2 linked regions of the Callithrix jacchus genome follow. The protein of the gene in region 2 interacts with the protein of the main gene of each other region in a biochemical or structural test. Links are inferred from orthologs where the notes say so. Each region holds a gene or a part of one and is shown on either strand. Other genes may lie near its edges.

Evidence for each region.
Region 1: the proteins of WWP2 (region 2) and WBP2 form a complex in vitro, tested with the Homo sapiens proteins (4 studies listed by BioGRID, with this or other methods). The link is inferred for Callithrix jacchus from reciprocal best matches to the Homo sapiens genes WWP2 and WBP2.

Annotation. Positions count from the first base shown.
Region 1 is NC_133506.1:131,750,639-131,755,212, forward strand, and holds the start of WBP2 (WW domain-binding protein 2), read right to left. Parts: upstream 2,965-4,574; 5' UTR 2,925-2,964; coding exon 2,866-2,924; exon of another isoform or gene 2,751-2,865; intron 257-2,750; coding exon 148-256; intron 1-147. UniProt on the Homo sapiens protein: Acts as a transcriptional coactivator of estrogen and progesterone receptors (ESR1 and PGR) upon hormone activation. In presence of estrogen, binds to ESR1-responsive promoters. Synergizes with YAP1 to enhance PGR activity.
Region 2 is NC_133521.1:27,515,848-27,519,653, reverse strand, and holds part of WWP2 (NEDD4-like E3 ubiquitin-protein ligase WWP2), read right to left. Parts: intron 2,593-3,806; coding exon 2,433-2,592; intron 693-2,432; coding exon 559-692; intron 233-558; coding exon 92-232; intron 1-91. UniProt on the Homo sapiens protein: E3 ubiquitin-protein ligase which accepts ubiquitin from an E2 ubiquitin-conjugating enzyme in the form of a thioester and then directly transfers the ubiquitin to targeted substrates.

The sequences.
Region 1 (4,574 bases), on a different chromosome or scaffold from region 2:
TGCAGTGAACCGAGATGATGCCACTGAACTCCAGCCTGGGTGGCAGAGCGAGACTCCATCTCAAAAAAAAAGAAAGAAACAAAGACTCACATTACCTCCAACAGCAGCAACAAGCCTCTAAAGCAGTTGCCCTGCTGTGTAACTCACCCGGTAAGGGGTAAGGTAGACGGTGCCTTTCTTGGTCCCTTTGAAGGCTTCTGGCACGTTCTTCATGTCATTGAATGTGAGTTCCACATGATCATAGGACATCAGGATGCTGTGGTGAGAAAAGAGGAAAAGCCTTGGTCAGACAGTATGGAGATGTGGTATCACCCAGACACTGGGCCTTTCTCCCAAGCAGCTGTCCAGCACATCAGCTCTCGTAACCATCTCAACAGTGCTGCATTAAAACCAATCACAGGGCCAGGCACAGGGGCTCACACCTGTAATCCCAGCACTTCAGGAACCTGAGGCGGGTGGATCGCCTGAGCCCAGGAGTTTGAGGCCAGACTGGCTAACATGGTGAGACCCCATCTCTACAAAAAAACAAAAACTAAAAACAAACAAACAAAAAAACCCATTACTCTAGCCATGGAAGAAATGAGCAGGTTGGGGTTCTATAAAATTTCCCAAAGCCTGCTTGCACAGCCCCAAACGATCACCATTGTAGCAGAGCCGCAGGGCTCTGGAGAGGCCATCATCCCCTAAGCAGGTTAGAAGAGCTGGCTTAACTCTTCTATTTTCTTTTAAGTCCTTGTGATGGATGTTGTTTTTATTGGCTTGCTTTTCAAGCCTAATATATAAACACGTCTAAGAGATAACTGTACACATCACAATAGGACCACCTTCAGGGTTCATTTAAACCTGGGTTTTTAGCTGGTTCTGCCGGAAAGTCTGTCCATGAAGCCCTTGAGATGATCGTGTACGTCACATGTGCATTTTCTGGGAGGAGAGTTCAGTTTTCATCATTCTCAAAGGAGTTCACGACTTGAAGAATAAAGTTCACTATTTATCAATTTTTTAATTTTGAGATGGAGTTTCACTCTTGTCGCCCAGGCTGGAGTGCAGTGGCACGATCTCAGCTCACTGCAACCTCCACCTCCTGGGTTCAAGAGATCTTCCTGCCTCCACCTCCCAAGTAGCTGGGATTACAGGCATGCAGCACCATGCCTGGCCAACTTTTTTGTATTTAATAGAAACAGGGTTTCACCATGTTGGTCATGCTGGTCTTAAACTCCTGACCTCAGGTGATCCACCTGTCTTGGCCTCCCAAAGTGATGGGATTACAGGTGTGAGCCACCATGCTGGGCCTAATTATCAAAATTTGAATGCTGGATTTAAACTTCAATTGTTATAGATACAACTTATTCAGACAGGAGGCTGAAGCACTTTCTAAAACAAGGCACGCCTTATTTAGCAAGACTGAGCTCTAAGCCAGGTAGAAGGCCCAGCAAGATGGATAGTCTTGTCTCAGAAAGTTCCACAGAGACAGAAAGAACAACAGTCCCTAGAGATGTTGCCAAATGGTATGAAAAACTGGCTGGGCCTGGGAACTGACTCACACAGAGATGCAACAAGCCAATGTGAGGTGTCTCTGATTACAGGATAAAAAGATTCACACAGTTCTGTTTGTCTTCTGCCTCCCCCCACATATCACAACTTTCTCTGATAGGGGAAGGGTAAGTGGGAAACCACTGGTATTAAAAAAAAGAGAAGTACCTCTCAGAGAAAAGAAGGAATTACCAGAAACAGGCTGCGCCCATCACACTCTGAGCAGGTAAAATGGACGGAAAGTGAGCATCCTGTGGTCTGGGTCACTCTAGGCATTTTCCTCTGACTCATCAAACATTCCCAACTCACAGGGCACCTGGATGCTGGCCTTAGCTGGGTACAGGGCTCTGATGTCCCCTTTGGGGATGCAGATGCCTCCTAAGCTCCTTCAAGAGGTATTTCAGGGTTGGCATAGTTCAACCCAGGCTGGTTTGATTTTCTTTACTTTTTTTTTTCCTTTTCTATCCATGGAATCACAGAACGGTCTGATTTTCAATACTCAAGGAACAAAAGGAGAGAGAAGCCATTTGAGGAGCCCAGAGGTTGGAGGAGAGACAGAATGCAATGAGCAAGGGGTGGGGAGGGCGGAGTAGAAAGAACCTTGAATTAGGAGACCTCTGCCTTCAGGGGTGACTCAAACCAACAGGCATTCAAGAGAAGAGGCAAGGGACTGACTTTACGGACCCACACAGTGCCAGGAACTGTCAGACATCTGATCAACGTCACCTGTTTAATTTCACCTCTGGGGCCTCAGTTTCTTACCTGGAACCTGATCGGTTCTGGAACATACTGGAAGCCTGTATGATGGTAGTTAATCCTATTAACTTTGGAGTCAAGACTCCTTTCCTGGAATTGCCATCTCTGTTACTTACAGAGTTGTGATTTCGGGCAAGTTACTTAACCTTTCTGTGCCCCACTTTACCTACCTGTGAAATGTGGACAGTAGTAGATTGTACCGCACAGAATTTTTATTAAACAAGGTAGAAAAGGCGCAGAGTCTGACACGTAGTAACGTTGTAGACGTTCAATAAATGACAATTATTTTTGTTTGGGGATCCTCCCAGCTACTAAACTCACAACTCTGGGAAGGGGTTTCAAGAATCACCCTAGGCCCCACCGGTCGTCCCACCCCCAATTCCCAGCTGACAGCAATCTCCCGGCCCTCCCCCCACGGCCCACCCACCTTCCTTCAACCCCGCCCCCAGCCGTTCCCCTCCAACCTCACTCCATCAGCGCTCCCTCTTCAGGGGCTTATTCCCCGCCGCCCGCCGCCCGCCGCCCACTTCCTCGACACCGGAACTTTGGTCCTCCAGGATCCTTCCGCAGTGTTTTCACCTTTCGGTGTTGTTGACGATCACTCCACCGCCCTCCGAGTGATTCTTGTTGAGCGCCATAGTCTCTCCGACAGGGGTCCCGAGACTCACAAGGCAGTGCGCTTGCGCTCGTCTTAGGCCCGCCCCTAGTGGCGTCTTGTTATTAGAGTCAGCCAATCACAGCTCCAGCGCGGAGGCTGGCCCAACCACCTGACCCGAGCGTCACGTGGTAATAGTTTACTCCCTCTCCCTTCCCCCGTTCCGCCTGCGTAACAAACAAGATGAAGACTACAATTCCCAGCAGGCAACTCTCCGGAAACCTCGACCTCTCCCTATGCTGGAGGAAGGATTTATTCTGGAACTTGTAGTCTCCTGGACCATAGACCGGAATTGGCTCCATAATTTGCATAACCAATCGGCTTGTGCCATCCCCACCCCGCCTCCTTAGCGGAACCTAAGTAAACAGCCTTCTGGCAGGGGCGCAATCCTGGGGGTCTGCTCCCGCGTCCGGGAGGTTTAGCCGGCCGAGTGCGACCTGGACATGCTGTGGGATCGCCGAGCAGTCCTCTGATAGATGGGGCGCCTTCGTTCACTCAGCAGACGTTTATGGGGCGCTTGTGTGACTCTGGGGCCTTTAGCTGAGCCCGAGGCCCCGGCTCTTGGGGACGCGGTGGCTGGCGGCGTCCGATCACCCCGTCATCCGTCTCACCAATCCCAGCCCAGAGCCCGGGGGCAGGGAGAGTCCCGCGACGGGAGGGGAGATCGGTGCGCCCCGTCTGGATTCCACCACGTTCACGAGCCGGCCGGGCGCCCCTTGCAGCCTCCGCGCCGCCCTTGCGGTGGCGCGGTTCCCTCAAGGGCGCCCAGCGGGGGCCCGGCCGGAAGATTGAAGGCTGAGTGGGACTGGGCACGGCGCGAGACCGGCAGCCTCATAACTAGGACTTACAGAATAGGGCTGACTCATGCCAGCTCGTGACCCAGCCCTGGGCATCCTCCACGGGGCAGCTATCATTCCCTAACCGCCCCCCACAAACCCCCGCACTTCCAAGCTGAATCCGTGAGGCGGAAAGAGGGGGCTGCACTCCCAACGTGGTGGTTCCGCTACTCGTTAATCTTAAGGATCAGAGTTGGCTTTTCAGCAGACAGTTGCTTTCCTGACCCGCTGGGGCCAACCTCGCGATCCACCTGCTTGACTTCGCTTTCCAGGGAGGTCTCCCTATGTGAAGGAACAAAACTGCCTCACTAGAAAAGATCAGGAAACAGCAGCCTTCTGCGAGGTCCCTTGCAAGACTAGGTTGGACCTTGCAGGACAAGTACAGTGGATTAAGGATGGTGATACTGAGACCTACCCCAATGATTAGATGTATTTTGGCGCCTGCAATCTCTGCAGTCTTTAAAAAGAATGAAGTCAGACTGTGTCCTGATATGGAAAGATTGTCAAAGGTTATTAACACAGAATGCTGAATAAATATAGTATACAGAATGCTGTATAAATATGAATATAGTATACTGTATAAATATACAGAATGCTGTATAAAAACAGGCTGGGTGTGATGGCTCATGCACTTTCCGAGGCTAAGGTGGGCGGATCACCTGAAATCAGGAGTTTGAGACCAGCCTGACCAGCATGGAGAAACTCCGTCTCTACTAAAAATACAAAATTAGCCGGGCATGGTGGCACATGCCTGTAATCCCAGCTACTCGGGAGGCTGAGGCAGGAGAATCACTTGA
Region 2 (3,806 bases):
AGGTGGCGGCCCATCTTTCTCTGCAACCCGCTAGGTTTCCTGCCACCTGCTGGGACTCCTGGAGCAGAGTCCCCCGGCACCAGAGACTCACATGATGTACTCTTCCTTGTTCTCCTCCGTAACCCGGATGCTCTCGCCGCCCTCCTTCAGCTCGTGGGTCGTCACCTTGCCCAGGATCTCCATGTCCTGGATGAAGTACAGCTCCAGGCCACACTCTTCCAGGTTGTTCTCTCTGGGGGCACAGGAGACCAAGCGGGAAGATGTCTATAGTGGCGGGGTCTTTCCTGGGTCCTGCTTTGTTGCCTGTGGGACACCAAGGCCTCACAGGTGGCCTAGAATCCAGAAGAGTGACAAGCAACAGCTCCCTGACTCAAGGAGAGAATTCTAGAACTGTCCACAGAAGGCAATTCTCTCCACAAGCTCTTATAAAAGCTGCATGAGAGCTCAGGGGACACTCTGGCAGACAAAATCCAGGCCATCAGCACCTACTCCCCGCCCAGAGACATCCCTCCTATCAGTGCAGTGGGGTGTGGGGGGTGGTGGGGGCAGGGGGCTCACTTGATCCAGACAATGGAGTTGTAGAACTCGGGGTCGATGGACTCCAGGTCTTTCAGGGTTGGTCTCTTGTTGAGCATCCGCTTGTAGAAAGGGAGGGTAAAGCCCGTGTCAATGAACTTTCCGTGGTACAGCGCCTGGGAAGGAAGAGGCACAGCACAGAGCTTTGGCTTCCCTGGGCACCACCAGACCAGCTCTCAGATGCTCCATATCAAACCCCACCACAGCCACCTGCCTTCCTTCCCTGACAGAATCGCAGCAGCGGCTGCCTCAGGGGCACAGCAGGAGGGCCAGGGGAGTAAACGACACCTTTGTCCTAACTTGTACCTGCAGGTGGCCCCCAGCCTGCCCTGCAGAGCTCAGGGACTGGGCCGAGCTGGCCGGCGTGGGTACCCATGTCCAGGCCTGCATCTGCCCCATGCACTGGCCAGCTGGCCCCGGGCTAGCAAAGATCTGTCCCATGCTCACAGAAAAGGCTTGCTCCAAACAGCTCCAGGTGGCAGCAGCCCTGACTCACTGGTGCTCAGGGCGGGTGGCAATGACAGCCAAAAATAATGCAGACACCGCTGACGGCGAGAGCTGGCGGCCAATGGTGAGTAATAGTCTAGGGTTTTACCGGTCTGTCCTGTTGGCTGCTGGGCCAGGCGGGTCTCTAGACCTGGGAAAAATGTGCCCACTTCCACAGCCCAGCACCTTGGCCAAGAACTCCCAGGCGATGGGAAGGGCCATATTTAGTCATAGACTCCTGGGGAGCTTGGGTCCTCATAACAGGGAAGCAGGGCAGGACACTCAGGAAGGCAGGGGAAGAGGCGAAGGAAAGTGAGAATTGAAACATCTCAAGCTATGAATGTAGCTCCCAAGCTGTGGCTCCCACGGGCCCCGCTTCTCAATCCAGGTTCTCACACTCTCAAGACCCTCAACAGAGGGCACGTGGCAGAACCTCCCTTTCCATATTCACACCATGTCCCTCTTTCCAGTTAAACACAGATGCGATGCTGTGACGCCTCCCCAGAAATGGCCCACATTCCAACAGATGTCCCTACACCCTGCACCAGCCGGTCTGCCAGGGTTTCGTTCTAAGCTAGCATTGATTCCAAATGTCCTTCCAGAAGGCTTAGTGTCTCAGTGGGACATTCCCAAATGCCGGGACAGTGTCACCTCCCAGAGACAGGCAGCAGGTGGGCAGTTACGGTTTCACTCAGCCCTGTCATCCCAAGGCCCTCAACAGAGCACATATTTAATGTTCAGTAAAGTCTGTGGCCCCGAGACCCTGGCTTCCTCTTGACAAGTCCTATACAAAGCAACATGGAAACTTCACTACCTATATGGCAGCCACTGAGGAAAGCTCTGGTTTCTCCAGAGCTCTCGCTAGCTTTTTGCATTTTATTTTTAAAAGACAGAGTCTCGCTATGTTGCCCAGGCTGGAGTGCAGTGGCTATTCACAGGCACGATCCCACTACTGATCAGCATGGGAGTTTTGACCTGCTCCATTTCTGACCTGGGCCAGTTCACCCCTCCTCAGGCAACCTGGTGGTCCCCCGCTCCCGGGAGGTCATCATATTCATGCCGAACTTAGTGTGGACGCCCAATCAGCATAGGGCACTACAGCCCAGAATCCTGGGCTCAAGCGATCCTCCCACCTCAGCCTCCCGAGTAGCTGGGACTGCAGGCACGTGCCACGGCGCCTGGAGCTTTTTGCATTTTTACTTTACGAGTTCTATGGGGGTGAAGGGTGGGGATCAGAGAGGGCACACCAGTCCACAGGGGCTGCTATTCATGCCACGTTGCCTCCTGGTGAACAGGCCCAGGGCCTCCTCCAATGCTGCCCCTTCCTGGAGGTCTCAGAGGAAGAGGAGATTCCCCTGTGGCCCCCTTACCATGGCGATGAATCTGCCGATAAAGCGGAAGTAGGTGAGGTGGTCCGGGTTGATGGAGGAGGCGGGGTTGATCTGCAGGCAGTAATTGTTCTTCCCCGCGTATTCAAATAAACAATACATAGGGTTGAGCACCTCGTGAGACAGGAGGAAAAACCACTCTCTGTGAGGGAAGAGAAAGAAAAGACAAGAATAACGGGTCCCTTAGTGCACATCTGCACAGGAGCTGTGACTCTCCTCCATTGTGTCTCAGGTAGTCTGCGGACACGTGTTCCAAGGAGTCCAGTCCCGTGACAAGTGCCCGGGCTAACCTATATGAAAAGCTGATCAGTGAACAGGGCAGGCTGAGACCTAGAGTGAACCAGGGTGGGGTGGCAAGTGCATTTGAGGATGAGGTTCAGGAAAACGTGTGCCTGTTGGCTCCCAAGTGATGTGTTCCTGTTCCTAGACTTTACATCACAACATCCAGAGCGTCTAATGCTAAAGGGGGTCCTTGTACCCTGGGTCACCATGCTCAGCTGCATAGGCTGTGTACTGCACAAGGACACGATGCATGTTTATTACAATGATCTTTCTGCAAAGGTTCTGTTTGAATAGCAACGACCCTGCTTCCACTCTACCTGGACGGGCAACATAACATAAATACACAGCACCACATTCCCAATCCTGATCCATGAAAATGTCATCCGTACTGTCTTCCGATTAGAAACCTCACCCCCACCAACTATGCCACAGGCATCTCACTTCTCTTACACTTTGCCCTCCCTTCACCTCCAGACCCCCCACACCATACCCGTGCCCACACTTCCACGCATTCATCTGAACCAACACCCAGTCCCTGGTTTCGAGCCTCAAGCATGAATTCAGAGTCCTTTTGGGCTTGAGCTAAACCAGCCAGGGGACGTCCCAAGGGGGCCAGTCCCCGGCGGCTGGGCTGTTTGTGGCTGGGCAGACGAGGAGTCCTTCGATGCAGAGGGTGTCCCGGTATCCTGTCCGTGGTTCTACCCTGTGGTAGAACAGCATGACGTAACCTACCATAGGGTAAAACCACTGGCAGGACACAGAGAGAGACACACACAGGGCGCGGCCACACCAGAAGCCCACCAAGCAGAGCCTGGAGAGGAGGTCACCACGGAAAAAAGGAACAATCCATCCACGGGGCCAGCACAGAAGGCAACGCCACCACTGAGCAGAGGACCAGGAGCAAGTTAACCCAACACCAAGCGAGAAGACATGGCCACACAAGGAGAGGTCACAAGCGGAAAGGTCACTGCAGGCCAAGGCGCTCCCTCTCTGCCAGGGCCCTTCTGCCCTGTTGTCCAAGGCAGCACTTCCCAGAAGGCTGTTAACTTTTGTGGGTGGACCAGGGTGAAGGCA